Linked DNA regions of Neodiprion lecontei. The protein of the gene in region 1 interacts with the protein of each later gene in a pairwise test. Links are inferred from orthologs where the notes say so. Each region holds a gene or a part of one and is shown in the gene's direction. Other genes may lie near its edges.

The links.
Region 2: the proteins of serine/threonine-protein phosphatase PP1-beta catalytic subunit (region 1) and zinc finger FYVE domain-containing protein 9 interact in a two-hybrid assay, tested with the Drosophila melanogaster proteins (2 studies listed by BioGRID). The link is inferred for Neodiprion lecontei from reciprocal best matches to the Drosophila melanogaster genes flw and Sara.
Region 3: the proteins of serine/threonine-protein phosphatase PP1-beta catalytic subunit (region 1) and nuclear inhibitor of protein phosphatase 1 interact in a two-hybrid assay, tested with the Drosophila melanogaster proteins (2 studies listed by BioGRID). The link is inferred for Neodiprion lecontei from reciprocal best matches to the Drosophila melanogaster genes flw and NiPp1.

Annotation. Positions count from the first base shown.
Region 1 is NC_060265.1:28,570,491-28,578,338, reverse strand, and holds serine/threonine-protein phosphatase PP1-beta catalytic subunit, read left to right. Parts: upstream 1-2,452; 5' UTR 2,453-2,673; coding exon 2,674-2,725; intron 2,726-3,191; coding exon 3,192-3,263; intron 3,264-4,865; coding exon 4,866-5,353; intron 5,354-5,469; coding exon 5,470-5,568; intron 5,569-5,782; coding exon 5,783-6,022; intron 6,023-6,115; coding exon 6,116-6,220; 3' UTR 6,221-6,265; exon of another isoform or gene 6,266-6,340; 3' UTR 6,341-7,196; downstream 7,197-7,848. Other genes in the region: protein farnesyltransferase/geranylgeranyltransferase type-1 subunit alpha, read right to left, coding at 185-310, 432-618, 791-991, 1,095-1,449, 1,692-1,830. UniProt on the Drosophila melanogaster protein: Required for cell adhesion in non-muscle tissues and in maintenance of muscle attachment. Vital for larval development.
Region 2 is NC_060266.1:4,607,447-4,613,056, reverse strand, and holds the start of zinc finger FYVE domain-containing protein 9, read left to right. Parts: upstream 1-2,366; 5' UTR 2,367-2,464; coding exon 2,465-2,483; exon of another isoform or gene 2,484-2,644; intron 2,645-2,884; coding exon 2,885-3,004; intron 3,005-3,623; coding exon 3,624-5,610. Other genes in the region: ankyrin repeat domain-containing protein 13C, read right to left, coding at 1-88.
Region 3 is NC_060261.1:17,296,601-17,303,743, forward strand, and holds nuclear inhibitor of protein phosphatase 1, read left to right. Parts: upstream 1-2,127; 5' UTR 2,128-2,342; coding exon 2,343-2,371; intron 2,372-2,508; exon of another isoform or gene 2,509-2,521; coding exon 2,522-2,582; intron 2,583-2,869; coding exon 2,870-3,023; intron 3,024-3,699; coding exon 3,700-3,920; intron 3,921-4,193; coding exon 4,194-4,397; intron 4,398-4,895; coding exon 4,896-5,270; 3' UTR 5,271-6,259; downstream 6,260-7,143. Other genes in the region: N(4)-(Beta-N-acetylglucosaminyl)-L-asparaginase, read right to left, coding at 260-395; serine/threonine-protein kinase grp, read right to left, coding at 6,321-6,551, 6,719-6,850, 6,951-7,143.

The DNA of each region.
Region 1 (7,848 bases):
AGCGCAAAAATTTCACTGTCAATAAGATGGCGTATCGAATTGATTTCAGCTAAAATTACGTCGTCACAGCAGCGCCGTCGTACTGTGATATCAAGTGTGCGAATTCATGTGACACCGTGTTAATTAATCTTTGTTTTGAATCAGTACTAGAATACACAGTACCCTGATTCAAAAGTAAGGAGTTTCACGTACATAAGACGCGTTGCCCGTCCTGCGAAGCGCTGTTGGACAGTTTTTGCAGTTGCTGACTTATATACTCCCAGTATCTCCTTCTTATTTTGTCGTGTTCCTCCGCCAGTTCTTTGCACAGCTAAAAGATACGGGAAAAAGTCAAGTGCAAGTAAGCATTTAGAATACTCAGATCGAGTTTTATTCATTTAGATTATTCGTGAAAGATATTTGTCAGGCGAAGGAAGAATGCTGTTGCTTACTGCAAGCGCACGTTCAATAGTGAATGGTGATTCTGGTTCTATGTCAGCGCCGTGTCTCTCCTGGCAAATGTCTATCATGCAGGCTAGCAGATGTATGCTCCGCGAGCCTCCTGCATACAATGCTTCGCAACTCTCGAGGACTTTTTTATTTCGCCCGAGTCCGCCTTCACCATCGTGCTGCAAGATGCTAATGAGAAAAAAGGCGAGAAAATAAGCAATGTCAAAATTTTACTTGGCGCTTGGTAGTTCGCAATCAATACTTGCATGAACTGTCACATTACAAGTGAATTTTTTTCTTTCCTCATTACCAGAAATATGTAAATCAATGTGACTATATTTTTTTGGCTACAGATACGAACCCTCTAAGATAATTCCATGCACTTTCATTCCCCTTGACTAGCTCGATTTTCTTCAAAGTATAATCAACTTCTCGTTCAATAACATGCGGCTCAAACTTTGTTGTATTATTCAAGACAAAGTAGCGTTGATTCCAAGCAGAATTATTTCTCACGTCGGCGTCCAGCAGTTGCTCAACATATTCCAACTCTCCGTCAAACAAACTGGCAATTGAATATGCACGTTTATTACTCTAGTAAGCAATTTTTTGTGCTTGAACAGAATACTACTTACGCTAAGAAAAATAAATTCGTAAAAAATACTTGCTTGAAAGTTTTTATAATCCATTGGCGATGCTGCCACGCATGATAATTCTTCGCATCCTTTTTCAGTACATTTTCAGTCAGAGCTAAGTCCAAGCTTGGATCTTGGAGCCATTCCACGATTACCCTCCGGTGATGCCATACTTGGTAGTTTTTTGGAGTTCTTCTAATCATTGTTTCTATATACTTGAGTTCGTTCCAGAGGTTCTTGTCCAGTGCTTTCAATATCTCTCTCCTGTACTGCCATACCGTATAATTTGCTGAATTCAGCGTTATGCAGTCCCCCGTTAAGTTCAGAGCTCGCTCAGACTTTTCGCCAGACTTCAGAATGGCTCTGAAGTAATCGTATGCATCTTTGACTGTGAAAACGGTTTGAAACTTGATAGTTTTTATCAATTCAAATCGAAATTTGCATGATTCACATCGTCGATTTTGCGTTGATCTCAACTGTTTATAAGCTAAATTATAATAGGTTACATCCACATTGTGGACCCACCTGATCGGTTATATTCTGAAAGTTTCGTGATTCGAATCTGACGCATAAACTACCAAGAAATAATTGACGAAACAATTGAACGAATTGAATATTTAAATATCTTACATGTTTCGGAATAGGCAATCGCGACAATTGGGTGAGGTCCATCATCCTGTGGAACAGGCGTAACGTCCTTCCATTCATTTCTGTCCCTGTAGAAAACCCAGGTGCTCGATATTTCTTCTTCTTCAGAAGAGTCAGACATATTTTCACCCGGCAAACGTGGTCATAAGAATTTTAACTAAACCCGCTCGACTTTAGCTATCGTCCTCTTTTCTTAATCCCACCCGATTTCTACCCGTATTCCACGTTCGGGTCCTACTGTATAATCTCACCGCATATCTCACAACCGCAAAGCCGCGGTCGCGAATTTCAGTGCTACCAACTTAGGTTTAATAAACAAAATCAAAGTCATGCGCATCGACATATAGGTATATGTCCGTGGTCATGCGTTCCCAGCCATCGAGGCATAATAAACAAAATTGAAGCGGTGCGATCCGAAATTACGCGTGACTTACAGAACACTATCGTATCGGTCTATTGACCATGAAATAATCATACAGAAGAATTATAGAGACGAATTATAAGGCAAAATTAGAGAATGTTAGGTAGAATCTGACAAACGGAACTGCGTGATGTGATATATTTAAATATACCGTAGTGGAGTACTGGATAGCATACGCGCCATTGAAAATGTGTATACATGTGTAGATGGCGCTTATAATAGTTTTCACCATGGTTTTACATACAGACCGTGGTTTTCACGAGTGAAAAATGTCAGAATCAGGACCCAGTATCGGCAGTCAGTAACCTCGGTTTCGGAACACACGTTGCGTCGGGATTAGGCCGAGTGAAGACTTCGGAACGCGCGTATATCGCAAGGTCAAGAAAAAGAAGTTAGCGGCATCTGGTGAGTGCTTGTGAATGTAGTGTGTGGTCGAGGGTCAAGCCTCCAGGGCGAAGCGCCTAGTGGAAACAAGGAACTATAGATCTACTTGTTCCGACAAACGACTTCCTAGGAGTTGGGACCTAGAGTAGTGCAGAAAAAATGGCGGATGCGGACTTGGATATCGACAATCTGATACAGAGATTGCTTGAAGGTACGTCTAAAATATAATATAACGATACGGATGTCATGGCCAAAGTAATACCGTCTATCGCATCTCTTTACTAACATACGCCGAGCCTTTATTTCCCATGATATTTCACGTTATAATCGTAAACCAATTATATGCTGTCTAGTGTGTTTTCTATACTAGCAATGAAAAATATCACTTCTTTCCTATACTCTCTTATCTCTTCTCTTTCTTCCCACATTACCGCTACTATTTCTCAGTCTATTCGTACATTATTATGAAAGAAACGTCGTTGGCTCACTCCACACTTGTCAGCTGTTTCCTATAACAGAGAAAAATTGGAAATAAACGACTAATTGTTGTCTTAACGGACACCGTTTGTCGGTATGGACACATCGTATATTGATTTTTTATTTGTTTTCGTAAAATTTTCTGTTTTTTTTCTCTGTCATGCTAACCGTATTTGTGGGGATGATCTTTTGCGGTAAAGTATATCAAACGCAGAAAGAACAGGTTCAGAAAAAGGCTAAACTTAAAGACATTTTTACCTCAGACTTTGTCGGTATGCCAATTTATTAATATATTAAAAAAAATTTTTTCTCATTGTTAATTTTTTCTTTTTTATTTCACCGTTACCATTTACCAAATGCATCCACATTAATTGTTATCGATATATCTATCAGTTTGCGTTCTCACACTATTGAATGCAACATCAGCACCAATCCTCCCTTTTCTTCATGTATCAATCTCGTATTTCGATACACACGGTCGAGCTCACACAAACCTTACACAGTGAAACGCTCGTCTTGAGAACAAAGTTCCATACCACTTCCAGCAATATTGTTTACCTTGCAAGATTTGCTAAATATAGATTTTATACTCCAAACACCACGTGGCTTTGCTCGGATTAGACTTGGGCTTCAAATTAAATTCGTCATCACCAAGGGGAACTAAATCTAGAACTATGTTTGTACGTTCTTGTCTTGCGACATTCATTTTAGTCAACTTCAGCAGTATATTTCTTTCAATATCTTGCCGTCGCTCTGTTAATTATCATTTTTATCTTTGTTGCTAGGCGCATGTCTTGTCTATATACATAAATTGCTAGTTACGTTTTCTTTCTATTGATAATTACCATCAGATGTAGTCCTTCTAACATTTAAAAAAGAAGAAAAAAAAAAACAATAGGTAAGAACTCGAGCTCTGCATAACAGAGAACTTGCTAAGTGCGGTAAATTTTCATTGCAACATGACAGGAAAACAAAAAGATTAGACTTTTATCCACTGTTCGCATTATTCTATCCAATAAGTACAGGATGTAGTGTCATTGGTGATACGACGACCTATCTATACATTTTATTTCGTAATAGTTACAGTCATCGTCATGCAAAAGTGATCCAACTACACTGCATAGGCCTTCAAAGTCGTCTATAAATAACAAATTAACACTACCAAGCTGGAGAACATCTGCTTTATTTTGATTACGTCACTGTAAATACAGTCCATCTAAACTTTGCTTCGTTAAATTTTGTTTCTTCATTTTGTTTTGAAGATATTCTTTAACGACGGCGATCAACTAGTTGCTTATTCTTCGAAAAGTAACTAACTGTAACACAATATCCGACAGTCATTTCTAGCTTGTATAATAAAGCACAGAGAATTTTCTTTTCTTTTTATTACGTAGGTAACAGAATATTTGGTCACTTAACTTGTGGGTAGTATTCCAGCACTCCCCCCTGATCTTGAAATACTTTTAGCAACATCTCTTGGCAGAATGTCACCACACTTTTGCATAATTACTTTTTGATTTCCTTTCTCTATCGTCGTTCCAGTATAAACGCAACGGTACTGTATAGTTGTAAATTACCAAACTGTATAGATAGATAGTAACGTAGTTATACATCGTAGAAAATAAAGATCCCAAAAAAAGATTTGATTAAATTAACCCTTTTAGCGTAGCATTTTGTAAAAAGTTAGTTTTCGGCACAACAAACTATTAAAGCCGTACAATTTATATCATAGTAGAGAGCATCAACGTTCTATGAAATCATAATTCATTCATTGTTAAACTTGCAAAGCTGATGTTGAAAAAATAAATCTGCCTCGATGTTATGACTCTACTAGCGAATACCGCTGACTATAAACTCGAAAATTTTGGACACAGTGCGAGGATGTCGACCTGGGAAATCGGTGGTAATGACAGAGGCCGAAGTGAGAGGCCTCTGTCTGAAATCGCGGGAGATATTCCTTCAGCAGCCGATACTACTGGAGCTCGAAGCACCGCTTAAAATATGCGGCGATATTCACGGCCAGTACACAGACCTGCTGCGGCTATTTGAGTACGGCGGATTTCCTCCAGAGGCAAACTATCTCTTTCTAGGTGACTACGTCGACAGAGGCAAACAGTCTCTGGAAACGATATGCCTGTTACTCGCCTACAAGATCAAATACCCAGAAAACTTCTTCTTGCTAAGAGGAAACCACGAATGCGCCAGCATAAACAGGATATACGGATTTTACGACGAATGTAAACGCAGATATAATATAAAACTGTGGAAAACCTTTACCGATTGCTTCAACTGCTTACCCATCGCCGCTATTATCGATGAAAAGATATTCTGCTGCCACGGCGGACTCAGTCCTGATCTCCAGGTGATTATTTAATTCGTATTTTTGAGAAAAGTTTGAACACTTTTCAGGAAAAGTTAGATGCAAAAACAAAAATTACATCAAATGATTAAACGTAACGAGTAACATTGGTTTTACAGGGAATGGAGCAAATCAGAAGAATCATGCGTCCAACCGATGTTCCAGATACAGGACTTTTATGCGATCTCCTTTGGTCTGACCCCGACAAAGATGTTCAGGTGTGTATAAAATGTATTAGAATACGCCGGGTGTAGCAGGATACAGCGTGTTACCTGTCTCTATTTATATCGTTGTGTAATAACTTATCAGATGGTTCGAAGCAACGGTGTACAGCACACGACTGTCTAAACACGCCTACAATGTTGATTCTGAGCTGCGTCCAGCAAGATTTTACAATGCGATGTAATGTGAGGCTGTTTTTCTCTCCCGCAGGGATGGGGCGAGAACGACAGAGGCGTATCTTTCACATTCGGACCTGACGTAGTTTCCAAATTCCTAAGTCGACACGATATGGATCTCATATGCAGAGCTCACCAGGTCGTCGAAGATGGTTACGAATTTTTTGCTAAAAGGCAGCTCGTCACACTTTTCTCAGCTCCGAATTACTGCGGGGAATTCGACAACGCCGGCGGAATGATGAGCGTCGACGAAACTCTGATGTGCAGTTTTCAGGTAATCTTCACTTTTCGTTTCTTATTCACCAGCGAAGATGACCGATTACTTTGATGCCCCTTTTCTACATTGTTCGATTTAAAATAAAAACAGATCCTGAAACCTTCTGAAAAAAAAGCAAAATACCAGTACAGTGGAATGACTGCGCAAGGTGGCAGGCCATCTACGCCGCAGAGGAATCCAACAAAAAAGAAATGACCACCTTTCGCTGATCCCGCGTAGCAGCAAACACTTTCGTTCTAGGTAAGATGATTATAGAGAGAGAGAGAAAAAAACAAACAAGTATATTAATAAATATCTAATTTTTTATCTATTCAGACTGAATGATTTACGATGCAAATACTGTGAATACTTACGTCACATGATAAAATCGATCCCTGTGAATATAGAACACTGCAACAGGCCTCCTAAACGTCTTAGACTCGATTTGCAAAAAAATTTAAAAGAAAACGAAGAAAAGTTAAACTCCACTGGGAGACCTGCCATAAGTTCTCTTTTGATCTTTAGCTATTTTTCAGCTGATAGAATTTTCATCGCCTTTCAATGAATAACGCGTTTTACTGAAAATATATAACGCCGGAAAGGAGGCAAGGGTTCAGTGACACATATTGAAGGAAGTAACCTAGTCTCTACAATTATAATTAAACAAATCAGATTATATTTATTAAATTATTGTTAATAATTGAATCAGTGGCAGTTATAGACGATAATCACGACTCATGAATCACTGCGGTGAACGATTTGAAGAAAAGTATATAAATAGATGGGAGGAGCTTTAACTTACATTGAACGACGACGTCGGACGTTTTCAGTTAACTTTTCCGTGCATTGATCTCGCTTTGCTTTAGTTTATAAAATAACATTACCTCTTTTAAATCCAAAATTAATCAGCCATACTGAGTCCTGAAGATTCCAGAGACATTTAACCTGCTTAAATCCTAAATCATACCAACAATGTGAGTAAAAGTTGACCGAAATCCGTAGAATATTGGACTTGATTTTATTTTTCTATATGTTTCAGCTGTGGAACGTGTCACTACAGTATGTACACTAACTAAAAACTCATAATTCAAAACGAAACGAAATAAAATGAAAAAAAAAAAATAAACAGAAAACTTGAATACTTAAAACGGGAAACGACATCTTCCTTATTACATCTCAATTACACTATTATCGCAGGATGCTTCTTTGTATAAAATATCGATCAATATATACATTTTTTTTTTTTTTGTTCCTCTAGTTAGAAAAAGTCACTTTATCGACTGCCCAATTTGTTTATAAGGTGAACAAAATCAGCGAGTTCCGTCAACATAAGCACTAAAAAATAGCACATGTACTTCATATACTTGCTACCATTCTCAGTAACAGTTATTCATTTTCTCTTACATGATGATCGATCCTTTTCTATTTCACTCATTTTTGCGTTTAGCAGCATTTTTACTCCTAATTATTTATTATTACTATTTGTTCGTTCAATTTCGACAGGCAGGTTTATATATATATATATTTTTTTTTTTTTGCCTCGTCCTAACTTAATTATTGATAAACACTCAGCATACACAAGGAACGCCATACATACGACTATACCTTCGTGTAAATTATTGTTATTATTATCATCATTATCATCGTCATCATTGTTATTAATAATGTTATCATTATTATTATTATTGTTATTATTATTTTAATTATTATTACCGTCGGAAATCATCTTTTCTTAATCGCTTATTTATTTTCGAACGTAGCATTGTATCCTACAATTTACGGACTGAGGCAGAAAAAAGAATATTCAGTGTAATAGCTGTCGAATTGAACCGCGTATAACATAG
Region 2 (5,610 bases), on another chromosome or scaffold:
GAGTCCTTATAAGGTAACTCAGCTCCTTGAGGTCCCCGTGAAAAATAGATTTGTGAAGTGGATAAGGCTCGTCCGATGTTTCCGCCATGTTTGTTCTTTCCTAATTATTCGAAAGCTGCAGCTGCTGCATGCGATTCTGATCGTCCCTAATCGGCGATCAGCGAAGTTTCACTCTGGCCGTTAAAATTAAATCTCGGATAATATCCCCCGTCGATCGTCATCCTTATCTTCGTATCCGTTCCACTCCCATCATCCTCACTCTCTTATGCACCGCTGTTATTGCTGTCGCGTCGTCGACGTTCAATGATGACGTTTAACGTCGGTGATACACGTTTAACCCGTTTAACTCGCGGCTAGTTTCCGCGATGATACCGTGCAATCACACCGACGAGCTGTAGTCGATTCACTGCCGAACATGCCGGACATGCCTTCCGTCCTCGCTCGTCGACGCCGCTCTTTTTCACCCGAGGATTTGCAAACGTTGCGCGTTCGACGCGCTGTTTATTATATCAGAGCTGGCGTGTTTCAGTTTCGGTCAGGCGATAAGGGCCGCGGGATTTAAACTATAATAAGTACTATACTTCTACATACTCGAAATTTAACCGGCCGAAATACGAATCTCTTCACAACCGAGAGGCTTGCAACACGCAAGTGACGCAAACCGTGCGCTCGCGGCTCACACAAGCCAGCGCTTTTTATGTTCCCCCTCTAGTAACGTCCTCTGAAACGAAATAACATTATAGAACTAATTTTCGAGGGGTCTGGAAGGTAAATGCATGTCTCGTGATCTCGTGATGATAATACAGAGCATATTTACTTACCGTAGCGAGGTCTTCACGTTTTCCCGCGCAAGCGTCGCTGCTCCAGCCCTAACTTCAGGCCAGCGCTAACTTCAGGCCAGCGTTGCCAAATATCTTTAGATTTCTTATTTAGATGGCATCACAATAATTCTTCATATTTATCATTTTCAATAGTAATGTTTGACGGTATTGAAAGTCATTAAATACAAGAATACATATTGTGTTTGATTTTTTCACTTTGTGACATGGGCAATTTTTTTTCAAATATATAACAGTAATTACCGTACGAGGTAAAACACTGTTTTGCAAATTTGTAAATCGTAATGAAACGAAACGTATTCATATTTTGTAATCCTAGTTACTTCAAAATCATTGTAACAAAAATATAAATATACACAGAAAAATCGTATTCACGTTTTTATTCATTCGTAATCAATAATATGTACTGTCTCACGAATGCTGTAACGCTCAAAACGCGTTTAGCGTAATTCCAAACCCAGGTCCAGTCATGCGATGGAGATTCACTAACAGGCGATGAATAATGTTTTACCAGAAATTGAAAACACATAAAATTTGTTAATGTTTACTATTTTTGTTGTTTTCACCACTGCTGGCTCACCTTGCTATGGTAAAGATGATCTGTCTTATTCGCTGCTTTTGTGGAGCTAAAAGTACGGTAGAGTGTGAGTCGTTAACCGACACGGGCTTAATTAACTGTCAGAAAAAACACAGCCAAAATGAGGAGACACGGAAATCGGGAGTTATGTGACCTGATCAAGCATGCCAATTTGATCGGCGTTTGTTTTCCCTCATATCTATGGCTCGGTGATTTGCCGTTCTGAAAACATCAACCCCACCGATAGCAGATAAAAATAAATGAATTAATAATTATAAACTAGGTCATAAACATCTAGGTGAACAGTAGAGAATGATTTACTGCCTTTTCTTATTACTATTAATCATGGTTTTTTGCTGATTCGAAGTTCACGGTACGACTGTATCATTCTAGGCGATACATTATTGTCCTACTCTTACCGACCAAATCAATTGAACGTGACGTCATTGATTCACCTGACTTATTAATGACAGATTAATGACTCATTCCTCCAACGTTAATCGAAGTTTAAACTAAGTTCAGCCTATCTCCAAACTATGCTGTCAAAATTGAACGCCGTTTAAACTGCGTCGGAGGAAACGGGCGTTAGTTTGATTACAAGCTATCGGAAGAGAAGCTTTGTGAGACTATTTAGCTGCTTCGAATGACACGGCTCGTTCAATTCCCCCTAAAATTACGGGGAATTGACATTATATTTCAAGTGGAGGTACGAAAATCATTTCAGACAACGAACCTTGAAAAATCCGAACGATCTATGATTCGGTCGGTAACAGGTAATGATAGAGCTGTGCGCATCGCTTCGACACGTGATTCTGCATACGCATTACACACTACCGACCTTTGTATACACACGAAGAAGACTCACTTTAGTAAACACAAGGTAGGCGTACTTTGCGCGTAGAATTTCATTTGTCAAAGCGAGTGGCTGATGTTCAGCGGAACGGTTAGTAGGACTCGCCCATTCAAGATGGCACTCTGACGTCGCGTTGAAATGTGTCATTTTCGGGAAATAATTTGATATTGCTGAATTTTGACGCTGTATAACGCGATGGGAACACCCGAGAAGTGTGAGTCGCTGTCCGTCGCACGCTTGGCGCTCAATTTTCACTATTTTTAATTTCGGCGCATATTAATTACGGTAAATCGCGTTCGGTCTTTTTCGCGACCTCCAGTTTAAAGCGAGAAATTAAGTTTCCAAGAAAAATCAGTAGCTGGTAGATAAACGAAGGTAGGTGGTGTTCAAACGTCACCAGGTTTTTCTTTGTTTAGAATAACAACAGCATCGTTAATCGCTCCTGCATAACTACACTTTCAACTTTATCGCTACGTGCAATTTATCAGCACATTTGTGACATGCAAATGCATGCTCATAGTATTTGTGAAAATCTAGTTACATAGGTATGCCAAGAGTTGGTTTACACCCCATGCTTATCTAATCCCTCGCTCCGTGTTGTCGGACAATTTTCAGCTACGATTTTTCATCCACTATTATCAGTCGCACAAAACGTAACGTCAACCGAGGAGAACACCATGGAAAAGTTTGCTGTGGATATCGACAAAGTACTTGACGAGCTCGAATTCAACGAAGGTTAGCAATCCAATTTGCTTCCCTTTATAAAGGATTTTATAACGCATTCTTAGGGGAAAATAGAAACCATTCTTCCCGGAATGTAACATTTGAGTCGGCGTGTCTGTACATGAGGGAAATAATAGAATTCCAATAATCTCAGGAAATTATACTTTATGCAACAGTCACTGGAAATGTTTTGTATATATTTTTCAGTGTGTGTTTATTTTTTATTTTCCTTTATTTATCATGTATAACATGGTATATAAACATGAGGATAAACTTTTTTACGCTACTCATAATCAACATCCTTCGATAAACAAGCTGCACTTTTCTTTCCAATGTGGTTTATATGGTATCTTGTCTTCTGGACATGTCTTAATTCATAGTGCAAATACTGCATTATAAACTTCGATCTTTAAACATGATAAAAAAAAATTTTGTTTGAACATAATGATCACTGTATACTTTATCATCCATGCTTATCTTGAACAGAATCTGTTTTTAGACTGCATTACAATTTTTGGAGGAAATTAAGAACACATTGCATGAATTTTCAATTCGAGTTCTCCTTTTTGGCTTGAAGGTTTTTTCTATCTCCAATCATTGTTCACATCCAGAATTGAATTTTTATTTTCAGATCGTGCTGAACAAATTGCGTCTATTCCATTGCCTGGAAATAACGTTAACGTTGATCGTCAATCCCAATGTTTACCTCAAAGAAATCACAATCAAGCAGCCTTTGAGACTGTGATTGTGCCAAACGTAACACCAAGTGAGAGCCTAGATGAAACGGCTGATGTTCATAGGAGTTCGGATGTCAAAAGGTACGGGGAGTATGATAAAAACACTCGTGACTTAAATATTCAAAAAGGATTTGCAAGATACGACAGCACAGATGTGGGGAATAATTTTTATTCCCAGGAATCCTCGTCAGCAAATAAAATACAGCACAAACAGTCTGTCGAAAGCTATGATTCTGACGCCCAAACGTTGACGATACACAACGACATAGCGCAAAAGCCTCTACAGAAAAAACAAAATGATGCTAGTGGTATTAGTAGTAATAGTAACAATAGTAACAATAGTACCAAATTGAAAAACAGTTACGACAAGAAATTAAACCAGCCTAATGCCAAACCAAGTGTGAGCAATGTGTTTAGCAGTTTAAACGAATACATAAATGCATCTAGTGCTAAAGTTGATAATGTAGATAATATAGTTATTCGAGAAGATACCGGTCACAAGGTGCGCGATGGAGATTCACTTCAAATTAGCGATACGACAAAAGATCTTAATGTTGTTAAAGATAACTGCGGTAACTCGTCGAGCTATACTTCAGAGAGCAGAGTAGAATCAAACATAGAATGCAGAAGAGACGCTGTTAGCAGTGTTAGAAAAATCTCAACTGTCGTACCGCCAGAGTATCAAAATATTTTATTACCCGTTAAATTAGAAACCGCGTTGTCCGACGCTAGAGAAACCAACGAAGTTAAACTTGAGGAGAATATCAGTTTGTTACCAAATTTACGTGAAATTGACAAAGAACCTTTGTATACAAACACAACTTTGCCGACTGTTGTCGACAGGCCGAAAGAGTCAAAAAGTATTATAGACAGGCCTGAGCACGTTTACGAAAACGTTTACATCGGCACGGACATTCCGAAACCGCAGGAACTGTACACGACGGTTAATAAAGCGAAACCGAAGCCACCCGAGCTCAAAGCTCAAGAAGAGATAAAGCACACGTACGAAAACGTGGACTTTGACGAGCCAAAGAAAGTGGGAAAGACTGACGGCAAAGAAAACGTGTACGAGTGCATATATATTGGTAACAGAGAAAATTTTCCAGAAACAACGACGGAGTTAGAAATAGCAGCTAAAAAAATAACCGACCAATTACACGTGAGTGAGAAAAATTCGGACACCGAGGCCAAAGGGATTAATCTTGCCAAGCTGGTATTTCAAACTGTACAACTTGGCACACCGGAGACGGAAACCAAACCGGTCGGCTTCAGTCATATTGACGATTTATCGGAGGAAGAATTGAACAAGTATTTGGCAGATTTGGAGGCTGAAGAAAGAGCCCAGGAAGCGACGACGTCATTCGAAAATTCGGTACCGAGCTCATATCGAGATTCCGACAATCTAGCGAAAAACAAATTTCAAACTATGCGTGACGATGAGGACGCGAACGAAGCGCCAATATTTGAAAGCGTTACTATTGGCGAATTGCCGGAAGTATCGAGTGTAGAATTGTTGGAAAAAGCCAAAAAATTTCCTGTCATCGACTACAGTAAGAGCGGTCCGAGCAGCGAAGGGACTGCAGATTTTTTAGTGAGGAAAGGTTCCGAAAAATTTTCCGAACATACAAAGGTTATTTCCGAAGCGAAGGAAGAGAAGGGAAAGGGAAGAAAAAGCAAAAGGACCAATGAGAAAATGAGGAAAACCTCGGATAATTCGGAACCGAGTGCTGAAAACATTAGAACTGAAGACGATGATCTGAAACCTGTCGAAGTCGAGGAGGTTAGCGTAGTCGCGGTAGAAAGTCCAGACGAGAGCCTGGAAACTCATGAAATTGCGTCTGGGTCAGAAATCAGCCAACAGGCGGAAGAATCCGGAATGGA
Region 3 (7,143 bases), on another chromosome or scaffold:
CAATAATGTGAAGATAAATGATTAGAATGCCAATTATTAATATTCACCAACAACACAAACATATTTACATTTGTCAAGATAAACATAAAACGTAAAATTTCAAGTCGAATTTCACAGTGCTGTTACACTATTTGGAGAAAAGTTTTATTCTGAAACAATTAGAAGCGAATAATGAATAAAAAAGCACAAAATTCAAGTATAAGTAAGTCTTAATGTAACGTAAAATTCAAGTAAGAAATTTCTTCATCGTTGGTTGTACCTTTGTCTGTGGCGTTCCAGTAATCCCATGTTGTTACAACGAGTGGAGTGGTTTTAGTAAATGTTTGAATCGAATTCGCCGGTAAGCAACCCGTAGCTACTATTAGTGTTGTAATAAACAAATTCAAAATTCTCATTATGAAAATGTCTCGATGCGATCGTATTTCAAAAAGGAATTGCTCGAATCGTGTGTGACATTCAAGGAATTCACATCACCTCTGCCGTTACTGTTGTTTCAGCACGACAAACATGCCGTATGGATAAGGATGAACAGGGATTAAACATGATAAACATACGATTGCGATTCAATTGTCAGTTCTGATTGGCTTATTTGACACGATTTACAGATCTTCATTACGAATGTAGTTGTGTACTCTGTTTTAAAATACATGCTGTTTGTCCAATGATAACTGTGGCTCAATCAAGTTGAATAACCATAGAGATAATAACAAATGGAGTGGGCAAGATGCAGGGGTTAGCATAGTACAAAGGTTGTGCGAATAAAAAGGGAAAGCAAATTGAAGTATACCTCTATCTATCCTTGTTGCATATACATTTACACATGCGCAGAAGAGAATCAGAATGATAGACTATTCAAAACTGCTTACGTTAATGTTGCAATTTTTCATTTGTAACTTTATTCAATTTTCTAAAAAGGTAGGTAGGGGTACTACCTTGATTTTTTGTCTTTGTTTTTATCACTAACTGGCTGTATCATTCACTTACCCACTCTATTTGTTGTTATCTCTATTTATATAGATAATTCTGGCTCGTTGACTAAAGTCGTTGACTGAAAACTGTTATTTTCCATAAACGCCCGCCTCAATCTCCGGTGAACCCTCCGAGAAATATGCAGCATAGAAAAATTAATGTGTACATAATCACCTAAACAGCACATTAACTTTTATTATCATCACACTTGTTTCATTAGAATATTACATAATGCGATACAATATTTATTCCGTGTGAATTGTATTTATAGAATATTAAATAACTTGATACGATACATATACCGTGTATAATTCTATTTTGGTGTGGACAGATTTCATCATTGACTGACTACTCTTACCGATTGAATTATTTTTGCATTGAAGCAGAATTTTCTGCATTTTATACTATAGAATCGGTAGTTAAAGATACTTTTTTGAGTAATATATTTGGTAATTTTTACTAATTTTATCCAGTCCTACTGGAGCGCATCGGCATCTTTTTGTTTCGCTACAATTTCGAATTCACCGCTCGTCCACATAACCTACAAGTCAGATGCATCATTGTTTTTCCAGTTTTAACGAAAACTATGAAGGAGCAAATTGCGAGGTTTGCGGGGAAATTATTAGATTATTCGCACCTCAATTCGTCTAAGAGATATATCAAAGTGAATTCGGCCATACTTCGCCTTGAGAAAACCCTCTTTTCATTTGTTTCTGATTCATTCGCAAACAATGCAGAAGCAATTTATCAAAATAATACAGTAACAATGAGTAATTAAGATAATATATAGGAGTAATTAAGGAGCAGCTCAAAGCTCATCCCTTAGAGCATGTACAGTATAAGGTTTATCCTGTTTCGGTGGCATAAAGAACGTCTGGGCACCAATATTTGTTTGAATATGGCGCCACTTTACTGGAAATGTTACCCACTCACGGTACCTGCAACGTTTTTTAGGATTTTCTCGAAAACCGCATGGGAGCAAATAATAAAGAATAGAGAGCAATTAAAAGCAATTGGGGAGAAATTTTTTGGCATAAAATTTTTTAACACATTCGAAGGTCGCAGGCCAACTCTATATAGTACTAGAGTTCAGTGGTCGCTGCAGCTTGTAAGGACTCTACCCTTACCTACCGAGTATTTCGCCCTTTGAAGCTAGCTACTGATTAGTTGTTTTCTATTAATTCGTGTTCTTGCCGAGCTATTTTTAATGTCGACTTAAAAATCTGTAATCGACTCAGCCCTTGTTTGTTTCCCGAAATATTTTTGTCAGAAATTCGCTTTATCTCCTTTGAAATTAAGAATGGTTACTAAATTCGTAGGAAGACTGAGGTTATAGATGTTTTATTAAAAGTACGCAACCTAAATGACAGATAATGGCGAATCATTACGAAGTACCTAGCTGGTATGTTATTACGAGAAATTATTACATTATAGGAATTCATACAATAGTATCCGAATTACAAATGATTTGAGCTAAAATATTTTTCATAACAAGCATCTTCCGACCCAAAACACCAGAATGACAAACATTGTAAACAGGTTATGTTTTCAGGGCTGGCAAACCTCCGGTTGGTTTGCATTTGGATGTATTAAAGGATGATAAATTAATCCAGGTAATATCCTTATTCGCCTACTAGAAGCATTTAGTGTTTCAGTAATTTACTTCTCAAGAAGTGTCGATTCTCACGTTTTTAAAGAAACCGGTAAACTCAAGAACTTTTTTGTTTATAAAAGCTTTCTTTGATTATTATACAAATATTAGTTCTTTTCGCAGCAGGATTTCTCTACTCTTGTGGTTTTAGCCACCATATTCACTATATCACTGACGAATAACGCCATTTGAGACTCTTAGAGCCACTGAGAAGTATATCACTCTATAAATGAATTAAACTCTTCCCAGAAATTGATGGTGGATGAAAAGAAGTGCTATTTATTCGGCCGCAACCAGCAAATGAACGACTTCTGCATTGATCACGCCTCGTGTTCCCGAGTTCATGCAGCATTAGTTTACCACAAGCATTTGAACAGAGCGTTTCTAGTAGATCTTGGTAGCAGTGAGTATCACATATGGTGTTAATTATGTCATGTATTGATAATTTCAGGAGTTCCATTGTCCAAATCAATAGTTGTTTTAAATTTTATCATGAGATAGTCGTGCATGGTGAATGTATTAACCTATTATATTCGTAAACTACAAAGGTTTCTTTAAAAAAGCGAAAATTGAAAATCCTGGAATTTCAGATAAAATCTTCAATATCAATGCTTCATTTAAAATAACTTCGAAACAGTTAAAAATCTAACAGGTTCAAATTCGCTCTATGATGGCCTTTCAGAAGATTATTGTTTTTTAGTAGTCAATTCAATATTGTAATTTTTTGATCACAATTAATATCTGCGCAATTTTGTAAAGCTAAATGTTTAGCGATGCCAACATGATTTAAAAAAAAGTATTTCTATGAGTTTGTGGAAATCCCAGAAAAATGTCCTAGTGAAATGAGCCATTCTAGAGTGAAAACGAACCTACTACACTTTTAATTAATTTGCAGCAATTTGAAACAAAGCATCGATATCCAAGCTTTCGTTTATAATTGTAGCATTTTCTGTTTGCATATCTAAAGAAATTACGACTGACTATCTCGTAATAAAATGAATGAAAAGTATATATTTTTGGTCAACCAACCACCTTCAGCTTTTACTTCATTAATTTGCCTTAACAATTTTCAATTGCAGCACATGGGACTTACATTGGAAATATGCGGCTAGATCCCAACAAACCGACTCAGTTACCAATCGACAGTACTTTTCATTTTGGCGCATCCACAAGATACTACATTATTCGAGAGAGACCGCAATCTGGGGCAAGACCGATAATTGAAGAACTAGAAAAATCTTCCGAAGATAATGACGCCGGTGGCTTACTTGGGCTTCCGGAGACTGAAACTGAGCTTGATGTAAGATATGCCAAATAATAATCTTTAGTGAATAGTGAACATGAAGTTTGTATTACTTCTACGTTTTTTTAAGGTTATTGAAAAATTTTTTTGCTGTATAACTAACGCATTTTGAACTTTGGTTATATCATAATCAATTATCGTTCTACGTATTTATAGAATTATTTCAGAATCTTGACCGATACGGTATATAAAGATATGGTTCGTGAAATGCAGTTGAACTTTTGAATGTCATAACTAAGCATGCTTCTAATTCAAAATTTACTCCTACAGAATTTGACGGAATTTAATACAGCCCATAACAGACGCATCTCGATGTTGGGAATAACGGATGATGACGTTCATAAAGCGACGAGAAAGAGAAAAAAGAAGGGCATCACATTCAACGACGACGAGGAAGTTATTAATCCTGAAGATGTCGATCCATCTGTTGGTAGATTTCGGAATCTTGTACAAACGACTGTTGTTCCCAGTAAAGTAAGTCAATCTCCTTGGTATCACTTCCTAAGTTCCCAACGATCAATCAAAGATAAAAGGAGAAGAGAGACTTCCAAATCTCTCTTCACGTTAATATAAGCGTAAACACAGAGTATGGACTGTGCATATGGTGCTGAAATTGCGTTGTGCAAGTGCGAGGGAGATGGAGGTAGTTGCGGCTAATATCCATCTCTTTCTAACTAGGAATGTAGTGCTTGCACTGAATACCTTGCGCTTCAACAAAAAAGTTCCTAAAAAAATTCAGACTTTTTCTTGGCGAGTTGTGTTCTCGATTTTGTAATGCTTACCTACTATAAATGGAACTAATAGAATAAAATATTTGATAGTAGTAATTAGGGCTGCGCATTTAATCAGACTTCGATTAATGGAATCGTTCACCCTTTCAATTATTCTTTTTGTCGATTGACCAATCAAACAGCCTTTTCAGTTCATTGTCGTCGAGATTAATTAGTATTTGTTAATATTTTCTTCTTTTAGCGAATGCGCATGGAGGGTGGCCTTATATCGTTATCGGAGGAAAATCATCACAATATGATGAAACATCTTCAGCCAAGTTCTGTTATGCCACAACTCTACCATGATTTACCTCCAGAACAGTTCTCTAACGCACATTCGTCGATGTCTAGTAACCCGTTTTCTACAGCACTGACATCACTGACTTCTCGCCTTGGTATAGCTTTACCAAACCCGGCTCCCGAGGTAGAAATGGCGCCGCACCAAATGCAAACAGAGGTGCCCCACATTCCAGATATATCAGGATCTTCGGAGCCACATTCATTAGAGCCTAAGAAAAAAAAGTACGCAAAGGAAGCTTGGCCCGGGAAAAAACCGATGCCTACTCTTTTGGTATAATTATAGACTTAACGGAATCCAGCTATCTCAGATCAGCGGTTATGAACGATCAATTCTCCTGTATCCGAAAGACCTTCTCAAAAGGATAAAGCAACTAATTTGGAATTAAATTTTTCTAGAACATGCACACGACTAAGTAATTCGCAATAATAAATCCGATTTTAAAATTCTTAATGTAGAATTGCGAACTTTATAAATCTGGATACCTTTAAAGTACTGAAACTAATTGTCCAAATGAATTCTGCTGTCACCAATCTGGAATAGCTATCTTAAGAATACAGACTAAATTCGTGAACTATTTACCTGATGAGGTTTAATATATTTGCGTGGTATCGTCCAAGTTTTCAACAAAAATTTCCTATTCAAATATAAACCATGATTGTATCGTCGTCGGTGAAGTGAAATATGTAAATAAAGTAATAAGAGATAAATAATTGATCTGTCGACAATTTTAAGTTCCACTCGTCTTTAAACGGATTTAATAGAGTAATCAAATATAGCGTAATATTTCGTACTGAAATCTCCTTTGGACCTTTCGGAGGTAAACAATTGTTGAAATAATACGAATTTTCCTATTTCAGGTAAATATATTTTAAAAATTAATGAGAAGTATACATTTTGTGATATAATAGACATGTGATGTAATTTGCGTTTATTCAGAAATTCAGTGTCAAGGAGCAAAGTATTGAATTCATAATAATATATCGAAGTAACAAGTGAAAGGTAAATTTGCAATCAGCGTCAGTCATCATTGTTCATCAGTATATTCATCAAAATGTTCAATACAAATTTTTCATATCTATTGTTAAGTGTATAAAGACAGTAAGAGGAACGATTGTCTCGTCTTTTATTCAATAAACCTCGTCAGAAATCAACGTTAATCCATTGCTATTCCATACAGGTGTTGTGTAGATTTTCAATGTTACAAACGCAAGTTGAATTCTAGCTCCAAATAATCAAGAGTATAATATTAAAGATCAAATTTTAAATTCAGTAGAAAAATAGAATGTATATTATTGAATATTGTTAATATAAAATTACTTTGTCAATCTAGCATGATTGTGACACAATGTCGTGATTCGCAATAGCAATGGGCCACGAAACCGTACTTTTGGAAACAAAGTCTCCAAGATCAGTTTTGATCTTAACAAATCTTCGTTTGAACTCGATACCGCATCCTTTGGACAATCTAAAGTCTACGAGTATTTTCCCATCCATATCAACGATATTTGCTTTGAAAACAAGAGGCATTTTCCGTCTATCAACAGTTGCAACTGTGATCTGAAAGAAGATATTAGCAGAATTTCAATTATTTTGATGAAAAAAATTTCTTGTGATGCGATTTGTTAGAATTTGTAGGTAATCTATGATCAGTGTAACTTTTAACTTTTATCTCAAACTTGACTCAAGTTACCAAAAGGTTTATTTAGAGTAGTGCAATAACTTACAACACCAACTTCGCTGACTCGACACGTGTATCCCTCATTTTCCAAAACAGATAACAGCTTCTTTGCAAAGTTGTCACCGTCCATTTTTACGAAAAATCTAGTCATACGGCGTGCTAATTTTTGAAAGGTGTTCTGTCAGATAATAAAAAATTTCAATTAATTCAAGGATAGTTTTCTGAAATTATAGTTTTTCTATAACTTTAAAAATGAAACATTTTGTCGACTTTCTCACCTGACTTGCGCTCTGCGTATGTTGAGTGGTTTGTAATGGCGTGCATAGCAATAAATCCTCTACGTCTGTAGGCTGGGAAAAAGAAAATCCTGGCCTTTGTTCAAAGTTCATACAGTCCATCTTGTTTATTTCAATACCGGGCATCTCAGGTTGCGACAAACAGAATCTAGACACATCGTTGCCATTCGCTGAA